Callithrix jacchus: one gene and its partner. The protein of the gene in region 2 purifies or fractionates together with the protein of the main gene of each other region. This does not show direct contact. Links are inferred from orthologs where the notes say so. Each region holds a gene or a part of one and is shown on either strand. Other genes may lie near its edges.

Region 1 (4,333 bases), on a different chromosome or scaffold from region 2:
CATAACATGCATAATAAATGCTTTTTTTGTTTGTTTGTTTGAGACAGTCTTACTCTGTCGCCCAGGCTGGAGTGCAGTGGCACGATCTCAACTCACTGCAATCTCTTCCTGTCGGGTTCAAGCGATTCTCCCGTCTCAGCCTCAGCCTCGTGAATAGCTGGGATTACAGGTGCGTGCCACCATGCCCGGCTAATTGTTGTATTTTTAGTAGAAACGAGGTTTCGTCATATTGCCAGGCTGGTCTCAAACTCCTGATCTCAGGTGATTAGCCCGCCTCGGCCTCCCAGAGTCCTGGGATTACAGGTGTGAATCACCTTGTCCGGCCAATGAATACGACTGAATACGGCAGTGTCAGATAGAATACAAGGCGAGGGAGTGGAGGGGAGAGAATACAAGAAAGGATGAAAATTAATCAGAACATGGGGCTAGAATTTGAGGAGTAAAGGTGTCAAAAAAAAAAAAAAAAAAAAAAACCAGTGACAGAACTGAGCATGTCAGGAAGGGGATCTAGTTTTAAATTATAATAACTAAAAGCTGTGGTATTAACGCCTTTATTTCTAATAAGACCTCATGCATAAGCTTACTTGAACATGACATTTACCTAGGTCAGAAGGGATGCAAATCCTCTAGATTTCCAAGAATTCTCTAATCATCTAAACATGTTTCTTCTTAGATGGTGCCAACACACCTTCCATGTTCTTTCTGCACACGAACGTGAGGGGGAGGAGGGCGCTGGCAGAAAAGTTGCCGACAGGTAAGGGGCCAGAGATATAATTGTCTCTACCGCAAATGCAGCACCTTCCCCATTCTTGGGGCGTCCAACAAGCGGAGAGCTAGAAGATGACTGAAAGTAACACAGTAGAGGTGGAACTAGAACAAGGTCACGAGCAAGTGCCCAACTCGTCTAACTCCTGGTTCCAGGCTGTGCCTCTGGGATGCTGTTGGCGCCAGCAGTGTTAGTATGACAGAGCCTGGGTAAAGGTCGTCTGCTGACGAGACGGTAGCTAGGAGACCTCTAGGTGAGCCAGAATTAGGGCGTCTTCTCCTGGACGTGCGGAACGCCCTGCCCAAACAAAGCTCATTACATCACCAGGCCTGTTACTTTAGCAGGGTAACGCGCCAAACCACCACCGACTCCGCCCCACCCTCCCCGCCCCTCTAGTATACGCAAGCGCACAAAGACCTGCGAGTGACGTCACCCCTCCCGGCACCACCGCGACGTCGTTTGACCAAAGGCCTGTCGTAACGGCCCGGCAAGAGAGGCCTGGAGAGGAAGGGCACGCACGCCGCACAGCCTACCCTGCTCGCTGGTATGCGCGCGCAGATCCTTGGCGCAAGCATTGGCACTGGAGCCAATGAAGCGCGGCAACGTCACTGCGTAGCCGCAAGCTCGGCTGTACGTCAGGGCGCGGGAGGGCGGAGCGAGTTTGGTTGCACTTACACTGGTACTTAGGCGCGGACCGGCGTGTCCTTGGACTTAGAGAGTGGGACGTCCGGCTTCTGAGTGGTAGTCTTTGTTGCGCTAACCACGAAAAAGGTGAGAGCGGGTCGCGGAAGCCGCATCTGGTTAGAAGCAGAGCTGTGGGGGGCACGTATTCGCGAGGATACGCGGGGAGCCTTCGAGGGGAGCCCGCGCGGGGTGGGAAGGCCGGACGTGAGGACCCTAGACTATGGTCAAACGAGAGCCAGGCGATCAACCGCTTGAGGTAGGGCGGAAGCCCAACTAAGGTCTCGGTCAGTTACTGGAGACGGCAAGACGCGTCCTCTTCCGTCGTGGTTGTTGAAGGGCTATGGAAACGATAGGCCAGACTTCCCTCCCTTAAAACCGAAGCGTAGCGTTTCATTTTCTGCTTCAGAGGGCAAAAGCTGTTGCTCCTCTAATAAGGGGTTGTTCTTTTCGTGGGCACATGTTTGTTCTTTCAATCGTTGCGGCGTCCTAGAAACGTGGGTTTCATCAGTCACCTTGAAACCGACCTGGATGGGTGACCTCGTGGTCACCTCGGGGGGATCACCGGTAAGAGAGTTGGGGATTTCTTGGGGACACCGTGCAGCCTACTCCTGCGCTCCAATTCACGCAGGAGTAGTGTCAAGCTACTCTTGTGCCCTGGGCAGGTAGAAACAATCAGAACCGTTTATTTTATTTTTAATTTATTTTTGAAGACGGAGTCTCGCTCCGTCACCCAGGCTGAAGTGCAGTAGCACGATCTCGGCTCACTGCAACTTCCGCCTCCCGGGTTCAAGCAATTCTCCTGCTTCGCCCTCCCTAGTACCTGGGACTACCGGTTTCCACCACCACGCCCGGCTTTTTTTTTTTTTTTTTTTTTTTCTTTCTTATGGAGTTTCGCTCTTCTTACCCAGCCTAGAGTGCAATGGCGCGATCTCGGCTCACTGCAACCTCCGCCTCCTGGGTTCAGGCAATTCTCCTGCCTCAGCCTTCCGAGTAGCTGGGACTACAGGCGCGCGCCACCATGCCCAGCTAAGTTTTTTGTATTTTTAGTAGAGACGGGGTTTCACCTTGTTGACCAGGATGGTCTCAATCTCTTGGCCTCCCAGAGTGCTGGGATTATAGGCATGAGCCACCGCGCCCGGCTTTTTTTTTTTTTTGTATTTTAGTAGAGACAGAATTTCACCATGTTAGCCAGGGTGGTTTCGTTCTCCTGACCTGGTGATGACAACCCACCCCTCCAAGCCTCCCAAAGTGCTGGGATTATAGGCGTGAGCCACCGCGCCGGGACCCAGGACCGATTTTTAAACATTTGTGCTTTGCATTATCCTCAGGGAGAGGTGGCTTTACATTGTAGTACGATTAAATGATTAGACCTTCTTAAAAGTTGCAGTTGTGGTGATTTTCACTTAATGTTCGCTGTTCTGCTTCGTATCTGTGACTGTTTGTGATCATGACCTTATCTTCTGAAACTGAAGTTTGAATTACGTTCCCATTTGCTTGCTTGGGTTTTAACCTTCCTTCACGTATACACACAAAAACAGGTTTTTAAGGAGGTGCTCCTAAAAAATGTTTTTGGTATGAAAGAGTATTGGGTATAAAAAGTATTAAAGCAAAAGAAGATTCATCTTAGTATTTAATGACATAAATTATCAATGGATTGGTAATTAAGTGACTAGAGTGGTCATTAGTTTACACTGTATTTGTTACCTGAAGAAAAATTATTGTTGGGTCTTTCGTTTTTAGAATTCAATATGGGTGATGTTGAGAAAGGCAAGAGGATTTTTATTCAGAAGTGTTCCCAATGTCACACGGTGGAAAAGGGAGGCAAGCACAAGACTGGGCCTAATCTCCATGGTATCTTTGGGCGGAAGACAGGTCAGGCCTCTGGATTCACTTACACTGAAGCCAATAAAAACAAAGGTAAGAGGAGAACACTTGTTAAATAAAACAGCACAAAACGCATGAACGTAACCTGTGGCAAACTCCGGAGTGTGAAATACTTAATGGATGCATTCTTTATCATTTAGGCATCATCTGGGGAGAGGATACACTGATGGAATATTTGGAGAATCCCAAGAAGTATATCCCTGGAACAAAAATGATCTTTGTCGGCATTAAGAAGAAGGGAGAAAGGGAAGACTTAATAGCTTATCTCAAAAAAGCTACTAATGAGTAATAATTGGCCACTGCCTTATTTATTACAAAACAAATGTCTCATGACTTTTTTATGTGTACCGTACTTTAATAGATCTCATACACCAGAATTTACATCATGAATGACTGACAGAATATTTTGTTGGGCAGTCCTGATTTAAGACTAAGACTGGCTTGTGGTTAAATGAATATGTTCAGTTTTTGGATTTTAATAGTAATTCCAATTTAGTAAATTCTGTCACACCCACCCCTTCTAAAGATATGATTAGACTTCATTAGTAATGTTAAAACTTTTCGCAAAGATGGTGAGTGCCATCTTAAAACTTACTGGAGATTGGTTTTATATTTAGATTTATATGACTGGTTATGTGAATATATTTAAATATGGGGGCAATTCCTTCACAGTCTCAGAACCAAGCAAGATTCACCTGTGTTTTGTGTTCGTTTGCCTCTTAAAGGCAAGGTTGAAGATAAACGGGTAGCAATGGCTATTTTATATTTTTGGCCTTAACTATGCCAATCTAATTAGAGTACCCTGTATTTAAAATGGTTCCTTTTACTTACTGAAAGGCATTTTGTGTGGTTTATGTGTAATATAAAAAATTATTTAACACTTCACACATTTTATAGATGATCTATAAGGTCACATGCTTTTAAAATAGTAGCCAATTAAACTTCACTCTTGGATTCTTTACAATCTAAGTCAAACTAAGTTATAATTTAGGATTGTCT
Region 2 (3,603 bases):
AAATTATTTTACTAGACTTTTATAAACAACCCTATCACAGATGCTAATATTTCCATTTATTTCCAGTGACATTTAATATATAAGCAGTGCTCTAATTCTTCAAATAAATGTACATCAGAATAAGAAAAAGAACAGAGGCATAAATGACAAAAGAAAATAAAATCATCATTTGCAAATGTCTCCCTAGAAAATCCAAGAGAATCAAATGGAAAAACTCATTAGAAAGAGTTCAGTAAGACAGTACATATACATACAAAAATCAGCAGCTTTCCAATATTCTGAATAATTAGGGAGAAAAAATTTTTTTAATGTACCAACAAATATTTGTAAAATAACACAATTTAAGAGAGACAATTTTTTTCTGCAGTGGTTGAAAACTGAAATGCCACCTCGTAACTGGTAAAGGAGCACTTTTATCCAAAGATGCAAACTCAGAGCAAAATGAACATTTCCAAAGCAGCCCTGCCACTTCAGCTGACACACATTTATGTGACTGGTAGAGAAGGTTGGTTACTTAGTCCTCAAGAAGAAGAATCTTAATTTCCCTGGAAAGCCCATCTGATAACACCTCTATTCCTGCAAACTGTATACTCTCCTAGTCTTCTGCACTATACCTATTCCTGGAGTTGTAAATCCTCCTTTGTAATGAAAGGGGGAAAACCCCCACCTTCCTCATATACACTGGTTACCAAAGCAACCATCCCAATGCCCAAACTTTTCCAATCAGCTCCCCATAGTTCTTCTGACACAACTAAGTCAATTGACTCCTTTTCCATAATTTCTAATCTTTCAGCATGTAATACTTTTCCATAGTGTACTATGTTTCCATAGATACAAAGAAAACAACATTCTATGCCTCCTAAAAAGTTGTTTTCTAAAAGTCAAAATTATATATTTTTAAAAAATGGTTTTCTAAATAAAATTGTCATGGTTTGCATGCATATCTTAAGCACCGCAGGGTAATAAAAATTGGCCTATCATGGAGACTCTGACTCAATAAGGAGCTCTCCGCTGCCCCCCAGTGACCGAAATGTGAACCTCTGCTCTGTTCAACCGGCAGGCAGTCCTCAGAGGACTGCAACAAACCACACTGGAGATGGCTATCTAATGGGTATAGTGCTAAAGAGATCTTTTCTTTCAGCACAGAAACTGCAGGATTTGCAATTCATTTATAATCCAGACCACAATTTACAAAATTATTTTCCTCAAATCCTGCTACCAAAAACAACCTTTGGTTCAAGTCCAAAAATTAAGATGAATCATTCTCAAGCTAATGGTGCAGAATGAACTGCAAATAACTAGAGCATTTGCCTTCTCACATATACAGGGAATGCTTCACTCTAACTCTAAAATAAATTCATTTCTGCAGTGGAGCGCAGCTGTGAATACAATGTGCACAAGAAACAAAAAGAATGCCTCATCCAACCACAACTTCAGGAACTAGGCTTCCCTGGCCCATGAACAAAGGTCCCCACTGTGAAGAGTACTAGCCCAAGCTACAAGAAGAGTAGTGCTCTCATGCCAGCAAACAGCCTACCCTGATTTCTCCATTGTCATCTCCCGTTGCCAGCAAGGTACTGTCCACAGAGAAGGCAGAGCAGCGCACACAACCATTATGGCCCCTCAATTCATGAAGTGGCGAAAGGAGATCAAAACTCCAGATCTGGAAGGCAATTAGGATTGTTTAGCAATGCTACATATGCTCAAAGTAACCATCTGCAAACCCTGCCTTGAGTGCTCTTCAGCCATAAATTCAATCACATGGAAGTTCTAATATTTGGTAATTCATAAACTTTCATGAGATGCCCAAGTTCCAGCATGCAATCTTCTTAATTTTTCTTAGTTTCCCTTTAATTACTCAGTTAAATTCAGCTCAAAGATCAATGTCACCTCTTCCCTACTTTAGACCTAGATGGAAGAAGACTGAATCAGCTAAGAGCAGTCTGTGGAGTGAAGCAGACCTCAGTGTGTGTCCTGGCTCCACTGTTAGCTAGATTCTTGTGACTAGGACAACTCATATAAGTTTCTATAGCTTCAGACTCTGCATCTGTAAAATGAGGACAATCTTACCTATGATGTGAAAATTAAATGAGATTATAAAGAGTGAAATTACTAGCATGTGACAATCTTTAAAGGTTAGTCACTATACTAGTCTACTATCTTGGCAGCCAAATGCTGGGGTTTTTTCCTTTCAATATTTTTTCTCATGGTTTTGTCAACCTCATTTAGCAAGCACATATTAAAAACTACCAAGTTCCAAGCACTGTGAGCTAAGAACTAGTGGTGCAAAAAGATAAACTAGCTACAGTCACTATCCTTGAAAAGTTTATAGTACAATCACAAAGGCAGGCTCATAAACAGTTAGTGAACAGTTGTATGAAGTAAATGTTCTAACAAATGAATAAAATGTAATAGAAACCCTGAAGGTAGAGAAGAAAATGCTTCAAAAGAGCTGCCATCAAATCTAAGTCTAGAAGGATGAGTCACAATGCTTCAAGGTAAAAGAGTAGAGGTTTATCAAACCAAAGTTAGCAGCATGCACAAAAAGATGAAGGTGGAAAGCAGGCTGGCATAGAGGAAACAATGTAGCAGAAAAAGACAGTGATAAGCTAAGTAGTTGGCCTACAAACCATCAGATAACAGGTGTTTCAACAAGGGACACAGGCAGTGGTATGGAAGATAAAGTAGAAGAGGTGCAGACCAGAGGCAGGATGCTGGGACAGTCCACCAGTGGAGGAGGAGGAAAGCATGCTCTTCAGGGCAGTGACAAGGAGGAGAAGACAAATCTATAGGGCACTAAAGAGTCATCAACAGAGCACAAAAGTCAAAATCAAAATAGAGTCCCTGACGATTCCAAGGTTTATAGTCTGGAAAGATTGGTAGGAGAAAAAAGGAGAGAAGGGAATACTCAAGGTCCCCAACCAAGCAGCATCATTCAGCAGAATGTGATTTTATACACAAGTCTATTATATTACATCAATTATGTTAAAATTTTACCATCAGTGTATAATTAAATGTAAATCCCTTTCAATGATTTTTATTGCCTACAATATGTAATAGAGGTTGCATTTGATTAGTTATAGACAAAAAATAATCCATAAGGGAGAAATCATTAGTCCTCAATGTATTTAATTTGACACCAACTAAATACCAATGGGTATCCTCCAAAAGATAACAAAACATGAGACAGACATGTAGCGAGCAACTGTTATGTCCTGTTGGATATATTATTTGGACTCATTATGCATAACCACTACCAAAGTTTTATGCAGGGTTTCAACTGATTGACCTACCTTTGCAGTCTTGTCAGCAGAGGTAGATGAAAACTTGGTAGCATCATGAGAAATGTCACAAGAAAGTACTGTACCCTGGTGACAGACAAAGTCTTTTTCTACTTTTCCAGTAAAAATATTCCATACCTTAAAAAAAAAAAAAAAGAACCTGGAGGTTGACACTTTTAAGAACATTTTAGTAAAAACCACAATCAGCTATATGACAAATCTATAAAACAAGAGTTTTAGTACACTGACTGTTCTGACCCCTTTATTTTAAATGTCTGCTAGTATAAATGCTCATTAAAACACAGCAGATGGGCCGGGCACA

What was found.
Region 1: the proteins of APAF1 (region 2) and CYCS purify together in Homo sapiens (affinity purification with western blotting; 3 studies listed by BioGRID and IntAct, with this or other methods). This does not show direct contact. The link is inferred for Callithrix jacchus from reciprocal best matches to the Homo sapiens genes APAF1 and CYCS.

The regions. Positions count from the first base shown.
Region 1 is NC_133512.1:32,935,822-32,940,154, forward strand, and holds the start of CYCS (cytochrome c), read left to right. Parts: upstream 1-1,479; 5' UTR 1,480-1,537; intron 1,538-3,190; 5' UTR 3,191-3,198; coding exon 3,199-3,367; intron 3,368-3,474; coding exon 3,475-3,623; 3' UTR 3,624-4,333. UniProt on the Homo sapiens protein: Electron carrier protein. The oxidized form of the cytochrome c heme group can accept an electron from the heme group of the cytochrome c1 subunit of cytochrome reductase.
Region 2 is NC_133510.1:101,817,080-101,820,682, reverse strand, and holds part of APAF1 (apoptotic protease-activating factor 1), read right to left. Parts: intron 3,420-3,603; coding exon 3,294-3,419; intron 1,664-3,293; coding exon 1,538-1,663; intron 1-1,537. UniProt on the Homo sapiens protein: Oligomeric Apaf-1 mediates the cytochrome c-dependent autocatalytic activation of pro-caspase-9 (Apaf-3), leading to the activation of caspase-3 and apoptosis. This activation requires ATP. Isoform 6 is less effective in inducing apoptosis.